2 linked regions of the Coturnix japonica genome follow. The protein of the gene in region 1 purifies or fractionates together with the protein of each later gene. This does not show direct contact. Links are inferred from orthologs where the notes say so. Each region holds a gene or a part of one and is shown on either strand. Other genes may lie near its edges. The genes, in order: ECT2 and KIF23.

Region 1 (3,815 bases):
TTATTGTTTGTAAATGCTGATCTTTGAAAATGAACGGGGCTTATAGCTGGTAAAGATTTCACTGAAGCAAAATCCTGGATTATGAATCCTAAAGCATTAGTGAGGAATCCTCACCATGGAAAGCTCTAAATTGATCTTTAGATGTCTTAAGTTCTTACAGCTGTTCAAGACTTCTATCTTCTTAGACTGATTGAAGTTAGGCCGTCTTAAAAGAAATTACAGGGTGTTTGAAAATATCCTAGGGAACTTTCAACTTTGGTATGAAGTGTTACTGGTAAAACACTTGATAGATGTTTGAGGTTTTTTGGTAGTGTAGGGTTACACTAAGAGTTGCATAAACAGTCATGAGGTAATAGATAACAATATTTCCTGCCTTGTGTTGCTAGAGCATCTATGCAATAGAGCTACAGAAGTGGGAATGCAGTGGGCTTGTAATAGCAAGCTGTCTTCAAAACATGGAAGTTGGCTGCTTTTGCCTTTTTTCTTTTTCCCTGAACTTTTTTTCACTAAAGCTTATATAAGATTATTCACAAGCTAGAACCTCTGTGTCACACAAAATATACCTGCCTTGTTGTACAAATAAGGAAGAAAAGCTTTTTAGTAAAGTATAACGTTTATTTCCAGGGAGGTTTAAATGCCCTCCAAGCTGTGCCTTCTCTCAGCATTTTTCTATGTATACTTTACTGCTGTTTGCTCGTATTATATGGGGTGTTTTGCAAGTTTTACTTGGTTATAGGTGTTGTAAAACTATCAAACCAACACCTTTTAACAATAATATTATTGTCTTGCTATTCACCTCTTTGTTTTCTTTTTTCTATAGGAGGATGTTATTTACCAGTTGGTGATGAAAGGTGTACACACTTAGTGGTTGAAGAAAGTACAGTAAAAGAGATTCCGTTTGAACCTTTAAAGAAACTTTATATTGTAAAGCAAGAGGTTAGTGCTCACGTATTCTTTAAGAAGTACTTGTATATGCTGCTCCATGTGAGACTTTTCTCTTTAGCTTAAGCTACTTGTTTGCATTCGGTGTGCAAATTGTCTTAATGCTACATACATAACTTTGAACATTTTTAACGTTGTAATTTTTTTTAATGTGTGGTTTCCTTATTCTTCAGTGGTTCTGGGGAAGCATTCAAATGGATGCCAGAGCTGGAGAGTCCATGTATTTATTTGAGAAGGTGTGTATTATGTGGATGATTTCAACACAGCTTGTACTTGGTGGTGAAATTAGTATGTGTGGAGCCAGAAATGAATGGGTTTTTTTAAGCAGCATTTAAATCTCAGGTAATGAATTGTAAGTTTACCTCTAGAGTATTAATTTGAGAAAATCTTTTGTTTACTGAAAGCTGAACCTAGTTTTAGTCAAGAAAACCAACAAAAATATGACTCCTTTTTAATATATATATATATATATGTATTTATATTTATATTTTTATTTTTACAAAATAAAAGTAGGGCTTTGTCTGGTTTTTCCTGAGGGGGGGGAAGAAATGTTCTGTGTGCTCATCTGACCTATGTTTGCCCTGAGTTGTGTTTGAAACAGCAAGTAAAAAGACTAAACTGGACTTTCTTTCTCTACAGTCAGAGAGTCCTGGCCTCAAAAAGTCTGTGTCACAACTTTCTCTGAGTACTCCAAACAGCAATCGTAAAAGACGCCGTTTGAAAGAGACTCTTGCACAGTTGACTAGAGAAACAGACATGTCACCCTTTCCTCCTCGGAAGCGCCCATCAGCTGAACACTCACTTTCTCTTGGGTCCTTGCTGGACATTTCTAACACTCCAGAATCAAGCACTACCAATGGAGGTATAGCTAGAAACCTTCATTTGCATGCACTTGCAGTGTTTGAGAGATTTCTGCGTACAATTGATAAAGGTGGTGAGGGTGAAGTCTTTCAGTATTTGCTACAGGCTTCCTGAGTAATTCTAGACTTTCTCCTTGAAGTGTGTGGTATGCAGGGTCAAGGTGAGGCATTCAGATACAGGGGCAGGCTGCTTTTCATCACAGTAAGCATATTCAACAGTACATACAGAGAGGACTTAATGGTGCTCTTAAAAACAAACAAACAAACAAACAAAAAATCAAACATTTAAAAAAAAAAACATTTAAAGACTTTAAAAGCATTATATGTTACTTGTATGTAAGAGGCAATTGTTTTAATTGAAGAGGGTAGATTTAGGTTAAATACTAATTAAGGGATTGTTCTCTATTAGTATAGTAAGACACTGCCTACAGTTAAATGTTGCAGGCTTTGCTTGTGAAGGTTAGCAATGGTTTTGGGCTGCATATATAGTATCTGAGAAAACTGTTGATGTAGCAAAGCAAAATTAGTAGAAACATAACTTGCATGTGTAATTAATATTCAGCTCTTAGCCTCCAACTGGCGCTGAGCATAAGAGGGGTGAGTCATTGACCAGCCTGTGAATGGCTTACTAGTAGTTTAATAGTCAAAGACTAATTCTGAGGTGTAAAATGTTAATATTAATCTGTAACAGGACTAATAAAGTCATTTTTAGAAAGAGTTATGATGTCTAAATAAAGAATAGCCTTTTAATCTTCTTTAATTCCCTTGAATTCTGAAAGTTTCCTTCTTGGAGGATGACCTTTTCAGGAGCTTTCATTTATAGAACTCAGTTTTCTTGTGTAAATATCTTTTAATCAGAAACGCCGAAATCCTGTGCAAGGCCATCGAGAAACTCCACTCCACTTCCGCTAAAGCAGTCTGCAAGATGGCAGGTTGCAAAGGAATTATATCAGACAGAAAGTAACTATGTTGATATTCTTACAACAATTATTCAGGTAAGCTGGTATTACAGCAAGTACTATTCTGTTGTAATAAGACACATGGTGTTTGTGTAAGTGACTTGTTTTCTTTGGGCTTTTTAGAACTTGGAGCAATAAGGGTGTGTGAGGGATGATGTATATGAGCTTACTACTTTATTGGTATATTGAGGATGTTGTTAATTATAAAGCCTGGAAGTCATAAACCAACTGCAGATCTCAGATTAGAAGCTATGCTTGATATGAAGATGTTAAACTTTAAGAAAATAGGCTCTTCATGACTTTATTTTTTTAAAGATATTAGTGCATAGAGGTGGGAAAAACACCAACGCTGTTTGCTATTGCAAGAAGAGCAGAATAGCAAGCAGTTTACGGGAACAGCTTCACTTCCTAGGAAGTTTGCTTCCTCTGTGGCTGATTATCATTCCTGAAGAATGTATGTGAGTAGAGGAGATAAAGGGATGATTCTATAGTAATGCTAACTTACCTAGTGTTTGCATTTGGAAACCACTCTTCCATAATCTCTTCCTGTTAAGTAGAAACAGGATGTATCAAGATTGTGATTGAAGGAAAGTATGATCTGGAAGACAACACCATTGTTTTCATAACTATTTCATACACAATGCATGGAAGATGTAATGACTCTTTGTCTAACACATCAGTTATTTCAAGTTCCGTTGGAGAAGGAGGGACAACTTGGAGGACCAATACTTGCACAGGAAGAGATTAAGACTATATTTGGCAGCATTCCAGATATTCTTGATGTACACACTAAAATCAAGGTAAACTGTAATTTCCCCCCGCACAGGAAGATATGATGCAAACTTTAAGTTCTGTTTGTGTTAAGCCATAGCTACTGAATGGATACATAATCATTAGGGTGAATTAAGAGCAAATCTGAAATATACTTTTAATTTATAAATGAAGTTCTTAAGTACCTGAAGTCTGAGTGTTATATGTAACTAATACTGCCATTCGTGAGCTGTACTCAGAATTAAGTACAGCGGTTGTCTGTCTTTCTTCAGCTTTGGTGTAA
Region 2 (4,309 bases), on another chromosome or scaffold:
AACTGACTTGTTTCTATAGTCAGTCTTTAAGAGAGTAACTCACATCTTTCCAATGAAAAAAAAAGCGTTTCTTCAATTAACAGCGCACAAAAAAATTACACCTGGACACACAAAGCATGCACAGCATTACACGCTCCTAGGAAGTTGGACAGGGGAGCTAAACCACAGCTGTTTCCATTGCAAATAAGGTGTATCACGGAATGGCCTGGGTTGGAAGGGACCTCAAGGATCATGAATCTCCAGCCCCCCTGCCAGGCAGGGCCACCAACCTCCCCATTTACTAGACCAGGTTGCCCAGGGCCCCATCCAACCTGGCCTTGTATGGATGGCCATGTATATATATATATATATATATATTAAAAAATCTATATATAAAGATAGATGTATATATTTTGCCTAGACAAGCTAAGAAACCTTAAGACATACAAAATCATAACAACACAAAAAGACACACAAAGACATGACAGAAAACAAGGAAGCCCTTACCGTTTTTCCCACGAATGAGATCTTCAACGAGAGGTTTGGCCACAACATCAAAAAGCTCCTTTTGAGGAACGAGGGTACCAAACACTTCCTTAAATGAATACTGCGTCTGAAGTAAAGGAGACACATCACCCTAAGTCTTAAGTTCCCCTGCCCAGAAGTTCCTTGCTTCAAATGCTTCATTCTTTTTCCCTTAGCTCAATAGAATGACAAAGAAACTGCTTTAAGATTACACCTATGTTTGAACACACACAGTTGCTTTACTATAGCTCCTCTAATAATTGCTTAAGTTTGTATAACAAAGAACAGCAACCTCTGGTTTTCATAGAGCTTACGTCCACCAATAACAATAGTGATCAGAAAGCCTGACCTCACATGCAAATAGAAGAGCTCACAACCTTCAGTTTCAAGTTCAAGTTTCTGTTTGACCCCCAACCTTCATCTACACAGGTACTGAAGGAACACCAAGGACACCCACAATGGATCAAGTCATTCTGTTCTAGAATTTCATATTCTTGCTTTTAAGTTCATGTCTTTTCCCAGCCCAGCCTGTTACCAGTCACAGGTTTGCAATGTGGTTGAGATTGTGTCACACTGAACTATAGCACTTTGTTGGGAACCTGTAATTAGCCATTTCACAACCAAACCGTGCTCAGAGCTATAGCACTCTAACTCCTCAATCTGTACACATGCCCTGAAGTCCCCTTTCCAGTAAACACAATAAATGCTTGCCATAAGTGACCTGCCACCTCCTTCCTACTTTACACCATTTCACCACTTCAAAACACTTTGGATAGAAGGAACCTACAAAGATTGAATCCAACTGCCTGACCTCATCAGTGTTAACCAAAAGCTAAAGCCTATCACTGAGGGTATCGCCCACTGACAGCCACAGGACACCACCCACCCTGTTAGGGAGCCCATTCCAGGATTTAACCACCTTCAAAGTAAATAAATGTTTCCTGATATCCACTCTGATCCTCCACGGCACAGCGTTGTGCCATTTATGCATCTCACTAGTTACAGGGAGAAGAAAACAGCCCACACACTCTTCTCTCTTTATACATTAACTACAGCTTTCCCCTTTGGTACACACAGAGAAACGTTGCTCTTTGCTGACATTAAGGATATACCATCTCCTACCTTGCATGTGCCTGATATTGCTTAGAGCTGGTTTCTAAGAATCAGAGCTCTATTAACAAATCCTACTTTTGCCAGATTTAGCTTTTTTCCCCTTTTGCTCTCACCCTTCCACCCTGCAGAAGCCCTTTTGCATATAGGCCGTGCAGAGAGCCACTGAGGCCCCGAAGCCTGTCCAAGAAGGGCAACAAAGCTGTGAAGGAATGGAGCCTTAAGGAGAGCAGAAGAGGGAACTGGGATTATCAGTCAGGGGGAAACTCAGGGGAGACCTCATTACTTTTTATTATCCCCGAAAGGAGGTTGTGGTGAGGTGGGGGTCAGCTCCTGCTCAAAAGTAAATGCAACAAGAGGTGATGGCCTGAAGTTGCACCACAGGTTTAGGCTGGTTATCAGGAGATATTTCTCCTCTGTAAGAGCAATGATGCAGCAGCACAGGGCAGTGGTGAGGTCACCACCCCTGGAAGCATCCATAGGACAGACATGGAGATGTGGGACACGGGCAACGGGCATGGTAGGCTGGGGTGGGCTTGAGGAGCTCAGAGAGCTTTTCTACTCTTCTCATCCACATAGTGATTCTATATATCGATGCTGAAGGATGGAAACTATACATTCCTGCTCCAAAGGGGCTTTGGGGATTGGAAAACTCTCTTCTCTCAGAGCACCACCTGCACAGGGCCCACGGCAGCAGGGTCAGGAGTGGGACCCCCAGCAGCAGGGTCAGGAGCCCTTCAGGCCGTTACCTCCCGGTACTCCCCGTTGCGGAATATCCTGTATCCGTCGGGTGGGTGGATCTGCACCGTGTTCTCGTTGATCACCTCGATGCAGCACTCCTGATCCGGACGGCTCAGCGGCCGCACCCTGCAGTACACCTATGGGAGGACACAGCTGAGCCCCAACGCAACACAACACAACACAACACAACACAACACAACACAATACAACACAATACAACACAATACAACACAATACAACACAATACAACACAATACAACACAATACAACACAACACAATACAACACAATACAACACAACACAATACAACACAACACAGTACAACACAACACAATACAACACAACACAACACAACACAATACAACACAACACAACACAATACAGCACAGCGCGGCCTGGTCCGGCCTGCTGCCCCCCGAGTCTCCACACTCACCCCCACAGGGTCCTTCAGGCCGGACGGCGCCGGCTTCTTCAGCGCCGGCCTCCGCGGGGTCTTGACCCTCCTGTGGGAAGGAACGAGGCGTGAGGGGCGGCCCGGACACCGCGTGGGACCGGAACGAACCGAGTCGGCCCGGCCTAAAGGCCCGGGCTGGACTTACGCCGCCTTCATGGTGCGGGTCAGCGTCCACCTGCGGCCCCCAACTCCGCGCTGCCTCACCCGGCGGCCGCGCGCCCGTTCAGTTCAAATCCAACCAATCAGCGCGCGCGTCTCGCGTGACGTCACCACGCAGCATTACGTCGGGGGGAGCCACCGCCCATCCCCGCCCTGGGGTGTAGGCCTCAAGCGTTGCTATGGTAACAGCACCGGCCACAGCGCCCCCTGTCGGTGTGGGGGTGTGGGAGGGGCGGTAGGAAGAAGCCATAAATCCCATTTATCCATTGCGATCTGCCCCGAAGCTTTTATTTCCAGATGTGAGTACAGTGCAGGCCATCAAAATGATTCTCAGGGCCGGATCCAGCTGAACGAGACGTGAGATGCCCCAGGAGCCAACCAGGCCCTCAGAGGCCCAAAGCCAACCTAAGCCAAGGAGCAGAATGATGGACACCGGGTGGACACAGCCAGGTTTCATTCCCTACACACATGGACTCGAGGTAAATAAGCTTTACAATTATTAACAACCATCTCCACAGCTGTTATGTTCACAGGCAGAAACAGAATCAAATCAGGTTAGATTTATATTGATGTACATACAAATACATCAGTGCCGTCGCCCTGTTAGTGTCCTCTCTTGGTGTTGAACAATCAATTACGTTCCAGTGCTCATATATTAATACATTGATCAGCTTTCAAAGGAGTTTGTTACCAGAAGACTTAGTAGCCCCGTCATATCTTGTCACTGCAAAGTGCATCTTCTACCTCCAAGAGGTAATTACACACAAAGCCTGTTATACACCCGTATGGTTACTGAGAGATAGTGCTCCACAGGCATCACTGCATCACGTCTGAGGTGCTGGGTGACACCAAGTAACAGCCCAGTGACAAGCAGCCTCAAAGCCCTGAGGAGTTATTCCATGTGTTCTTGGAGAAGCCAAACCCTTGGGAAGGCTGCTTGACACACACAGAACAGAGGTGCCCTGGGTATTGCCTTGAAACGAATGTAAGGCAGGCTGTGGTCTGCCCCAGCCCCATGTTGGGTAGGCACTTGAGTGGAGTGTCAGATAGTTGGGGTTATACCCCCAGCACCAGGAATGTTGGGCTCAGCCCCGGGACCTGCACAGCGTCCACATCCTGCTGTGAGACTCTGCTGCTGATTGTGGGATCACAGAATGCATGGGGTGGATGGGACCCCAAAGCACACCCAGTTCAAACCTGCTGCCATGGAGGTGTTGAGCAGGTCACCCAGAGCCCCATCTCCAGCCTTGGGCACCTCCAGCAATGGGGCAAGCTCAGCTGTGGGCAGCAGTGCCAGCACCTCACTGCTGTTGGGTAAAGGATCTCCCCCTAACGTCTGAC

The links.
Region 2: the proteins of ECT2 (region 1) and KIF23 purify together in Homo sapiens (co-immunoprecipitation; 3 studies listed by BioGRID and IntAct, with this or other methods). This does not show direct contact. The link is inferred for Coturnix japonica from reciprocal best matches to the Homo sapiens genes ECT2 and KIF23.

The regions. Positions count from the first base shown.
Region 1 is NC_029524.1:16,995,198-16,999,012, reverse strand, and holds part of ECT2 (protein ECT2), read left to right. Parts: intron 1-820; coding exon 821-936; intron 937-1,115; coding exon 1,116-1,178; intron 1,179-1,581; coding exon 1,582-1,804; intron 1,805-2,660; coding exon 2,661-2,797; intron 2,798-3,441; coding exon 3,442-3,561; intron 3,562-3,815. UniProt on the Homo sapiens protein: Guanine nucleotide exchange factor (GEF) that catalyzes the exchange of GDP for GTP. Promotes guanine nucleotide exchange on the Rho family members of small GTPases, like RHOA, RHOC, RAC1 and CDC42.
Region 2 is NC_029525.1:17,539,400-17,543,708, reverse strand, and holds the start of KIF23 (kinesin-like protein KIF23), read right to left. Parts: upstream 3,090-4,309; 5' UTR 2,966-3,089; coding exon 2,955-2,965; intron 2,859-2,954; coding exon 2,789-2,858; intron 2,493-2,788; coding exon 2,364-2,492; intron 593-2,363; coding exon 487-592; intron 1-486.